Linked DNA regions of Macaca fascicularis. The protein of the gene in region 1 interacts with the protein of each later gene in a pairwise test. Links are inferred from orthologs where the notes say so. Each region holds a gene or a part of one and is shown on either strand. Other genes may lie near its edges.

Region 1 (3,510 bases):
CTTGACGCCAGGAGTTTGAGGTTGCAGTGAGCTACAATTGTGCTGTTGCACTCGAGCATGGATGACAGAGCAAGACTCAATCTCTTAAAAAAAAAAAAATCTTTAATTCAGTACTAATTCACTTCTTGAGGAGTCGTGTATCTGGTAATCTTAGCATTGTTGCACGTAAGAGAAAACCAGAAAGGAAGTGATAGAGGCTTCCAAAACACTGTCACATAAATGAGGTTTTTTTGTGGGGGTTGGGAGGTTGTTTTTTTTGTTTCTGTTTTTGTTTTGTTGAGATGGAATCTCGCTCTGTTGCCAGGCTGGAGTGCAGTAGCGTATCTCGGCTCACTGCAACCTCCGCCTCCCGGGTTCAAGCAATTCTTCTGCCTCAGCCTCCCAAGTAGCTGGCACTACAGGCGCATGCCACCATGCCCAGCTAATTTTTGCATTTTTTGTAGAGATGGGGTTTCACCATGTTGGCCAGGATGGTCTCGATCTCTTTACCTCAAGTGATCTGCCTGCCTTGGCCTTCCAAAGTGCTGGGATTACAGGTGTGAGTCACTGCTCCCAGCCAAATTTTGTCACTCTTGGTTCAGTTGTCACTGACCACTTTTTTAAATTCTGTAGTGTTTTAAAACAAATCCCAGAAATCATGTTTCACCAGAAGTTCAGTATATATCGCTACATAGACATTTTTTCCATAACCATCATGTCATTATCACACTCAACAAATTAACTATAATTAATAAATTAATCATCTGATTTTCAGTCCATATTCCACTTGCCCTAGTTGTCTTAGAGGTACCTTTTTACTGTTAGCAGTAAACCAGGTCCAGGCAAGGCCACACATTGCATTTCCTGATTTTTCTTCAGTCTTTTATTCTGTTATATAAACTTCAAGGAGTCCAAGAACCATTGAAATAGATTACAAAAGTTTATATACATACTTTTTTCCTTGGTAGAGGATCATAGTATTTATCCATTTCTAATAGGGTTCTGTGACACAAAGTATGTTAGAAACCACTAATGTGGACTTTCTGGAATCATCGAACAGATTGTGATAATCCTTTATACACGAGTTTTCTTTCATTATATTTTTGTGTGTGTGTGACAGAGTCTCACTCTGTCAGCCAGGCTGGAGTGCAGTGGCACCATCTCAGCTCGCTGCAAACTCCACCTCCCAGGTTCAAGCAGTTCTCCTGCTTCAGCCTCCCAAGTAGCTGGGACTACAGGCTCGTACCACCACGCCTGGCTAATTTTTGTATTTTTAGTAGAGATGGCGTTTCACCTTGCTGGGCTGGTGTTGAACTCCTGGCCTCAAGTGATCTGCCTGCCTCAGCCTCCCAAAGTGCTGGGATTACAGGCATGAGCCACCACACCCACCCAAATTTTATCACTTTTGTTTCAGTTATCACCACTTTTTTTTTGTTGAGATGGAGTCTCATTCTGTTACCCAGGCTGGAGTGCAGTGGTACGATCTCAGTTCACTGCAACCTCCACCTCCCAGGTTTCAGCGATTCTCCTGCCTCATCCTCCTGAGTAGGGATCACAGGTGTGCACCACCATGCCTGGCTAATTTTTCTATTTTTAATAGAGACGGGGTTTCACCATGTTGGCTAGGCTAGTCTTGAACTCCTTGTCCTCAAGTGATCCACCTGCCTTTGCCTCCCAAAGTGCTAGGATTACAGGCATGAGCTACCACACCCATCCAAATTTTATCACTCTTGTTTCAGTTGTCACTGACCGCTTATTTTTTTTAAGACGTAGTCTCGTTCTGTCACCCAGGCTGGAGTGCAGTGGCATGACCTCAGCTCGCTGCAGCCTCCGCCTCCTAGGTTCAAGCAATTCTCCTGCCTCAGCTTCCTGAGTAGCTGGGATCACAGGTGCGCACCACCACGCCCAGATAATTTTTGTATTTTTAGTAGAGATGGGGTTTCACCATGTTAGCCAGGCGGGTCTGAAACTCCTGACCTCAGGTGATCCACCCACCTCTGCCCCGCATAGTGCTGGGATTATAGGCATGAGTCACCACGCCACCCTGTAGCATTAATGTTTATCTTGTAGCTATGTTACTGAATTAACAATTTTTTTTTTTTGGACGCAGAGCCTCACTCTGTCACCCAGGCTGGAGTAGAGTGGCATGAGCCTCTGCACCAGGTCCACTTTTTTTTTTTTTTTTTTTTTAATCCTGCAGTGTTTTAAATCAAATTTCATAAATCATGTTTCACCAAAAATGTTTGTACAAAGTTTTCTGAAATGTCTGAAATTCAGTCATTCTTTCTATGTTTTAGGTCAGCCAGGCATATAGGATTATATGGTACCTTATACTCAATAAGACCTTTGTCCTTTTTTTTTTTTTTTTAATGAAAAAATGAAACATAACTTGCTGGAAAATACTTGTTTGTTTTCACTAAACTTGACATATTAAAGTACTAATACTGGAAATAACGTTAATTATGCTATACACGGTTCTTTTTAGCCAAAAATAATATGGATGAAAATATGGATGAGTCAGATAAAAGAAAATGTTCACGAAGTCCCAAAAAAATAAAAACAGAGCCTGATTCTGAAAAAGATGAGGTAAAAGATTCAGATGCTGCAAAAGGAGCAGACCAAAGTGAAATGGATATCTCAAAGATTACTGAGAAGAAGGACCAAGGTAAGGAGAGTCAGCTGTGGAGGGCAGCCTGGGGGTGATAAGAATGCAGTGGATCGGGGTCCCACCACAGGAAAGGTACTGCGTTGTGTTTTCTTGATAATAGCTTTATTAAAATGTAATTCATATCCCATACAATTCACCCAATTAAAGTGTAAATTCAGTGGTTTTTAGTATAGTCACAAAGTTCAACCATTATCACGTCAATCTTAGAACATTTTCATAACCTTGAAAAGAAGCCTCATTCATACCCATTAGCAGTTACTTACCAATCCTTCCCCAAAGTGCCGCCAGCTTAGCGGTCTTCTTTCTGTCTCTCTGGATTTGCCTATTTTGGACAGTCCATAGAAATGGAATCAGGCAATATGTGGTCCTTTGTGGCTGGCTTCATCCACTTAGCATGTTTTTAAGGTTCATCCATGTTGTAGCATGTATCAGTACTTTCTTTCTATTTCTGAATAATACTCTGTATGGATATGCCACATTTTGTTATCCATTCATCAGTTGATGGACATTGGGCCGTTTCCTCTTTTGGCTATTATGAATAATGCTGCTATGAACATTCATGCAGAAGTTTTTTGTGGCCAAGCGTTTTCACTTCTCTTGGAGATATACCTAGAAATGGAATTACTGGATCATATGGTAACTCTGTTTAACCTTTTGAGGAACTACATTGTCTTTTGTAACAAGTCATTTTTTAAAAAACTAAATAAGCTAAATAATGCATGTGGCTAGAGATACGTTATAACTGTAAAAGTCTATACAAAATATTACATGAAGGTACTAGCGTGTGCAGTAGCCTGCCACATACTAAGTACTTTTTCATTATGGCATTCCATCGTTTTTAGATACTAAGGATCAGAATATTT
Region 2 (3,953 bases), on another chromosome or scaffold:
CGTCGCTGCCCCCCTCCCTCCTGTGTTGCAGGCAAACATCCTGGGTCTCGCCGCCGGCCAGCGCTGTGGCCCCTCCTGACCGTCGTCTCTTCACTTCGCCTTTTTAAATCCTTGTATAACCCCGTGTTGTGTAAATACAGTTTTTTCTCTGGTGCTTCCGCCTGATTTTTGGGGCTGTGGGGGCGGGACCGGGGTGTGACCGCCTCGGGGTGGGCCGCGAGCGAGGCCGGAGACTCCACTGGGCGCCATCTTCGGGCAGCGAGTCAGCGCTGGATTGTAAATAAACAGCTGGAGTGGGGCGGGGAGGACGGTGGCCGGCAGGACGCAAAAAGAGGAAGCCGAAGCATGAGGCCTGCGACCGTTAGGCGGGCGCGCGCTCAGGGATTAGCCCCGCCCCGTCCGTGCCCCCGGCGCGCGCTCCCCCACTCTCCCGCTCGGCAACGGCGGCGGCCTTGTGCGCGTGCGCGCGAAATAACGGCCGCTGGCGGAGGGAGGGGGGTGGAATCGTTGGAGGGGGGAAGAGGAGAGAAGCCGCCCCGTCTCCCGCGCGCCCACCACCTGCGCCATCGTCAGCCAATCAGCAGCCGTCTCAGGGGTCTCGCGCTTGGGGCGACTCGGGCTGCTGGGTGGCTCCCCCGTCCCTCCGCCCGCCAGAGTCCCTCTCGCGCCCGCCCCTCCCGCTGGCCACGCGCGCGCTCGCGCTCGCGCCCGCTCCAGCCTCTTGTGTGTCCTCGCGCCCCCCGCCCGCCCTCCCCGCGCGCAGTGTGCTCCGCTCCCCCCACCCTCCACCTCCCCCCTCCTGCCCGCCCCGCGCGCCTCCTCCCCGGGTTCCCCCTCCCCCACCGCCGCCTCCTCCTCCTCCCGCCCCAGGGTGAGCGCGAGCCACCTCCCTCCCTCCCTCCGCCATGGATCCCAGCAACTGGAGCAGCTTCATCTTCCAGGTAACAACCCCCTCCCCCCGCCCCCACCCCCCTGCCCACACCCCCTCCTGCCCGCCCTCCCTCCCGTCCCACCCCCCCTCCGCGCGCCCGGTGCGCGCGCAGCTGTCCCCCTCCCTCCCTCGCGCCCTCCCCCGCCCTCCCCGAGGCGCCGGCTGGGCGCGCGCGCGGCGGGGGCCGAGGCTGCTCCCTCGCTCCCCCCACCCCGCCCCGCCAGGCTCCAACCGCCGCCGCCGCCGCCGCCGCCGCCGCCGCCGCCCGGGCCCCCGCCCCCGGCCCCGGCCCCGCGGGGCCTCCCGCCCCCACCCAGGGGGCGTCGCCGCCGCCGTCGCCGCGGCGCTCCGCGGCCCGCAAGGCGCCCTCCTTCCCTCCCTCCCTCCCGCCGGCCGGGGTGCGCGGGCGGCGGGGCGGCCCGCGGGCCATGCGTTCGGCGCGGCCCAGCCCGGCCGGCCGGGGGCGGCGCCCCGAGCCCGGGCCCCGCGCGGCCCGCGCCCCCGGCCCCCGCTGAGCCCCGGGGGCCCCGCTGCGGCCGAGGCCATGTTCCCGGTGTTCCCTTGCACGCTGCTGGCCCCCCCCTTCCCCGTGCTGGGCCTGGACTCCCGGGGGGTGGGCGGCCTCATGAACTCCTTCCCGCCACCTCAGGGTCACGCCCAGAACCCCCTGCAGGTCGGGGCTGAGCTCCAGTCCCGCTTCTTTGCCTCCCAGGGCTGCGCCCAGAGTCCATTCCAGGTGAGTAGGGCCGGCCGCGGCGGCCCGGGCTGGGGGGGCGCCCGCCCGCACTCGCGGCCCACTCGGCGCCTTGTTTCCGTAGGCCGCGCCGGCGCCCCCGCCCACGCCCCAGGCCCCGGCGGCCGAGCCCCTCCAGGTGGACTTGCTCCCGGTGCTTGCCGCCGCCCAGGAGTCCGCCGCGGCTGCTGCGGCCGCCGCCGCCGCTGCTGCCGCCGTCGCTGCCGCGCCCCCGGCCCCTGCCGCTGCCTCCACGGTGGACACAGCAGCCCTGAAGCAGCCCCCGGCGCCCCCTCCGCCACCCCCGCCCGTGTCGGCGCCCACGGCCGAGGCCGCGCCCCCCGCCTCCGCCGCCACCATCGCCGCGGCGGCGGCCACCGCTGTCGTAGCCCCAACCTCGACGGTCGCAGTGGCCCCGGTTGCGTCTGCCTTGGAGAAGAAGACAAAGAGCAAGGGGCCCTACATCTGCGCTCTGTGCGCCAAGGAGTTTAAGAACGGCTACAATCTCCGGAGGCACGAAGCCATCCACACGGGAGCCAAGGCCGGCCGGGTCCCCTCGGGTGCTATGAAGATGCCCACCATGGTGCCCCTGAGCCTCCTGAGCGTGCCCCAGCTGAGCGGAGCTGGCGGGGGAGGGGGAGAGGCGGGTGCCGGCGGCGGCGCTGCCGCAGTGGCCGCCGGTGGCGTGGTGACCACGACCGCCTCGGGGAAGCGCATCCGGAAGAACCACGCCTGCGAGATGTGCGGCAAGGCCTTCCGCGACGTCTACCACCTGAACCGACACAAGCTGTCGCACTCGGACGAGAAGCCCTACCAGTGCCCGGTGTGCCAGCAGCGCTTCAAGCGCAAGGACCGCATGAGCTACCACGTGCGCTCACATGACGGCGCTGTGCACAAGCCCTACAACTGCTCCCACTGTGGCAAGAGCTTCTCCCGGTGTGCACGGGGCCTCGGCCGCCCGCTAGGCCGTGGGGAGGGAGGGACGCGACGGAGGTGGCCTGGCCGTTGCTGGCGGGGAGGGAGGCGGCTGCTGAGGTTGGGGAAGGGGAGCCCCTCCCAGGGCGGAGGGAGGAAGCCTCTCCCGGTTACCAGGGAGCAAGGGGTGGTCCTTTGTCAAGGAGGTGGGCCTTGGGGTTGACGGAAGCTAAGCGTGGGAGGAGGCGGCGGCGGCAGCGGCTGGGTTCCAGGGGAGGGATTTCCTGCCGAAGTGGCGCTGTGACGGCCCGGCCTCCGGGAGGAGGCGCAGGGATCCCCGGAAAGGCCTGTGGTGCAGGTTGGCGGATTTGGGGCGCACCACCTGCGCCCTAACCCCAACCCCAACGTGTCCCCAGGCCGGATCACCTCAACAGTCACGTCAGACAAGTGCACTCAACAGAACGGCCCTTCAAATGTGAGGTAGGAAGCCCGCCTCCTCCCGTCCTGGTTTTCATGATTTTGATCCTCATGGTAGTTGTCTGAGTTCAGCCTCTCAGACCCCCTTTTTCTCTCTCTTCTTTTTGCCTTTTCACTCCATTTTCTCATCCCTTTTTCAAGGCCTCATCATGTCACTCCCATTTCCTACAGATCAAAGATCCCCAAGGCTCTGATACCTTTAACCTCTTGCTCCCCCCTCCCCAGCCCGCCAAGCTTTAACTCTCCTGTGACACCCCCCACGCCCCTCCCCCCTCCCCAGAAATGTGAGGCAGCTTTCGCCACGAAGGATCGGCTGCGGGCGCACACAGTTCGACACGAGGAGAAGGTGCCATGTCACGTGTGTGGCAAGATGCTGAGCTCGGCTTATATTTCGGACCACATGAAGGTGCACAGCCAGGGCCCTCACCATGTCTGTGAGCTCTGCAACAAAGGTACATGCCGAGGACTGCCGGGAGGGCCAGGGGCAGAGGGTGGGCGCCTAGCCAGACGCCCTGCCACGGATACGGGCTAAGGGTGCTGTAGCCAAGAGCTCGTGGCGTCTAGAGTCCTCCAAGAGGTCAAGGGAGCAGCGGGGGACACCTGAATTAATGTTGTTAGACTCTTAAGTCCTGGCTGGAGGAGAGATCTGCCAGAGAGGTTGAACCTCCTGGGCATACGTGGGGAGAGCGGGAGTGGAACTTGGCTGCTCTGGGGAAGGGAGTAGTCAAGAAAGCCAGTTCCAAGGGTCACAAGGCAAGGTTTCCGCCGCGCAGCCACAAGGTCTTGTCTCCAGCTCCTGGGGCAGGTGGAGTAGTACACGGGCTGGGATTTACCAGCACGCACCCTGCACGGGTAGCAGAGAAAGCTGCCTTCAGTCAGACTCACCGGTTAACTGGG

Evidence for each region.
Region 2: the proteins of BPTF (region 1) and MAZ interact in a two-hybrid assay, tested with the Homo sapiens proteins (2 studies listed by BioGRID). The link is inferred for Macaca fascicularis from reciprocal best matches to the Homo sapiens genes BPTF and MAZ.

Annotation. Positions count from the first base shown.
Region 1 is NC_088390.1:74,343,588-74,347,097, forward strand, and holds part of BPTF (nucleosome-remodeling factor subunit BPTF), read left to right. Parts: intron 1-2,464; coding exon 2,465-2,644; intron 2,645-3,510. UniProt on the Homo sapiens protein: Regulatory subunit of the ATP-dependent NURF-1 and NURF-5 ISWI chromatin remodeling complexes, which form ordered nucleosome arrays on chromatin and facilitate access to DNA during DNA-templated processes such as DNA replication, transcription, and repair.
Region 2 is NC_088394.1:28,296,803-28,300,755, reverse strand, and holds the start of MAZ (myc-associated zinc finger protein), read left to right. Parts: upstream 1-1,145; 5' UTR 1,146-1,475; coding exon 1,476-1,667; intron 1,668-1,749; coding exon 1,750-2,600; exon of another isoform or gene 2,601-2,995; coding exon 2,996-3,059; intron 3,060-3,197; exon of another isoform or gene 3,198-3,336; coding exon 3,337-3,508; intron 3,509-3,953. Other genes in the region: kinesin-like protein KIF22, read left to right, coding at 32-79. UniProt on the Homo sapiens protein: Transcriptional regulator, potentially with dual roles in transcription initiation and termination.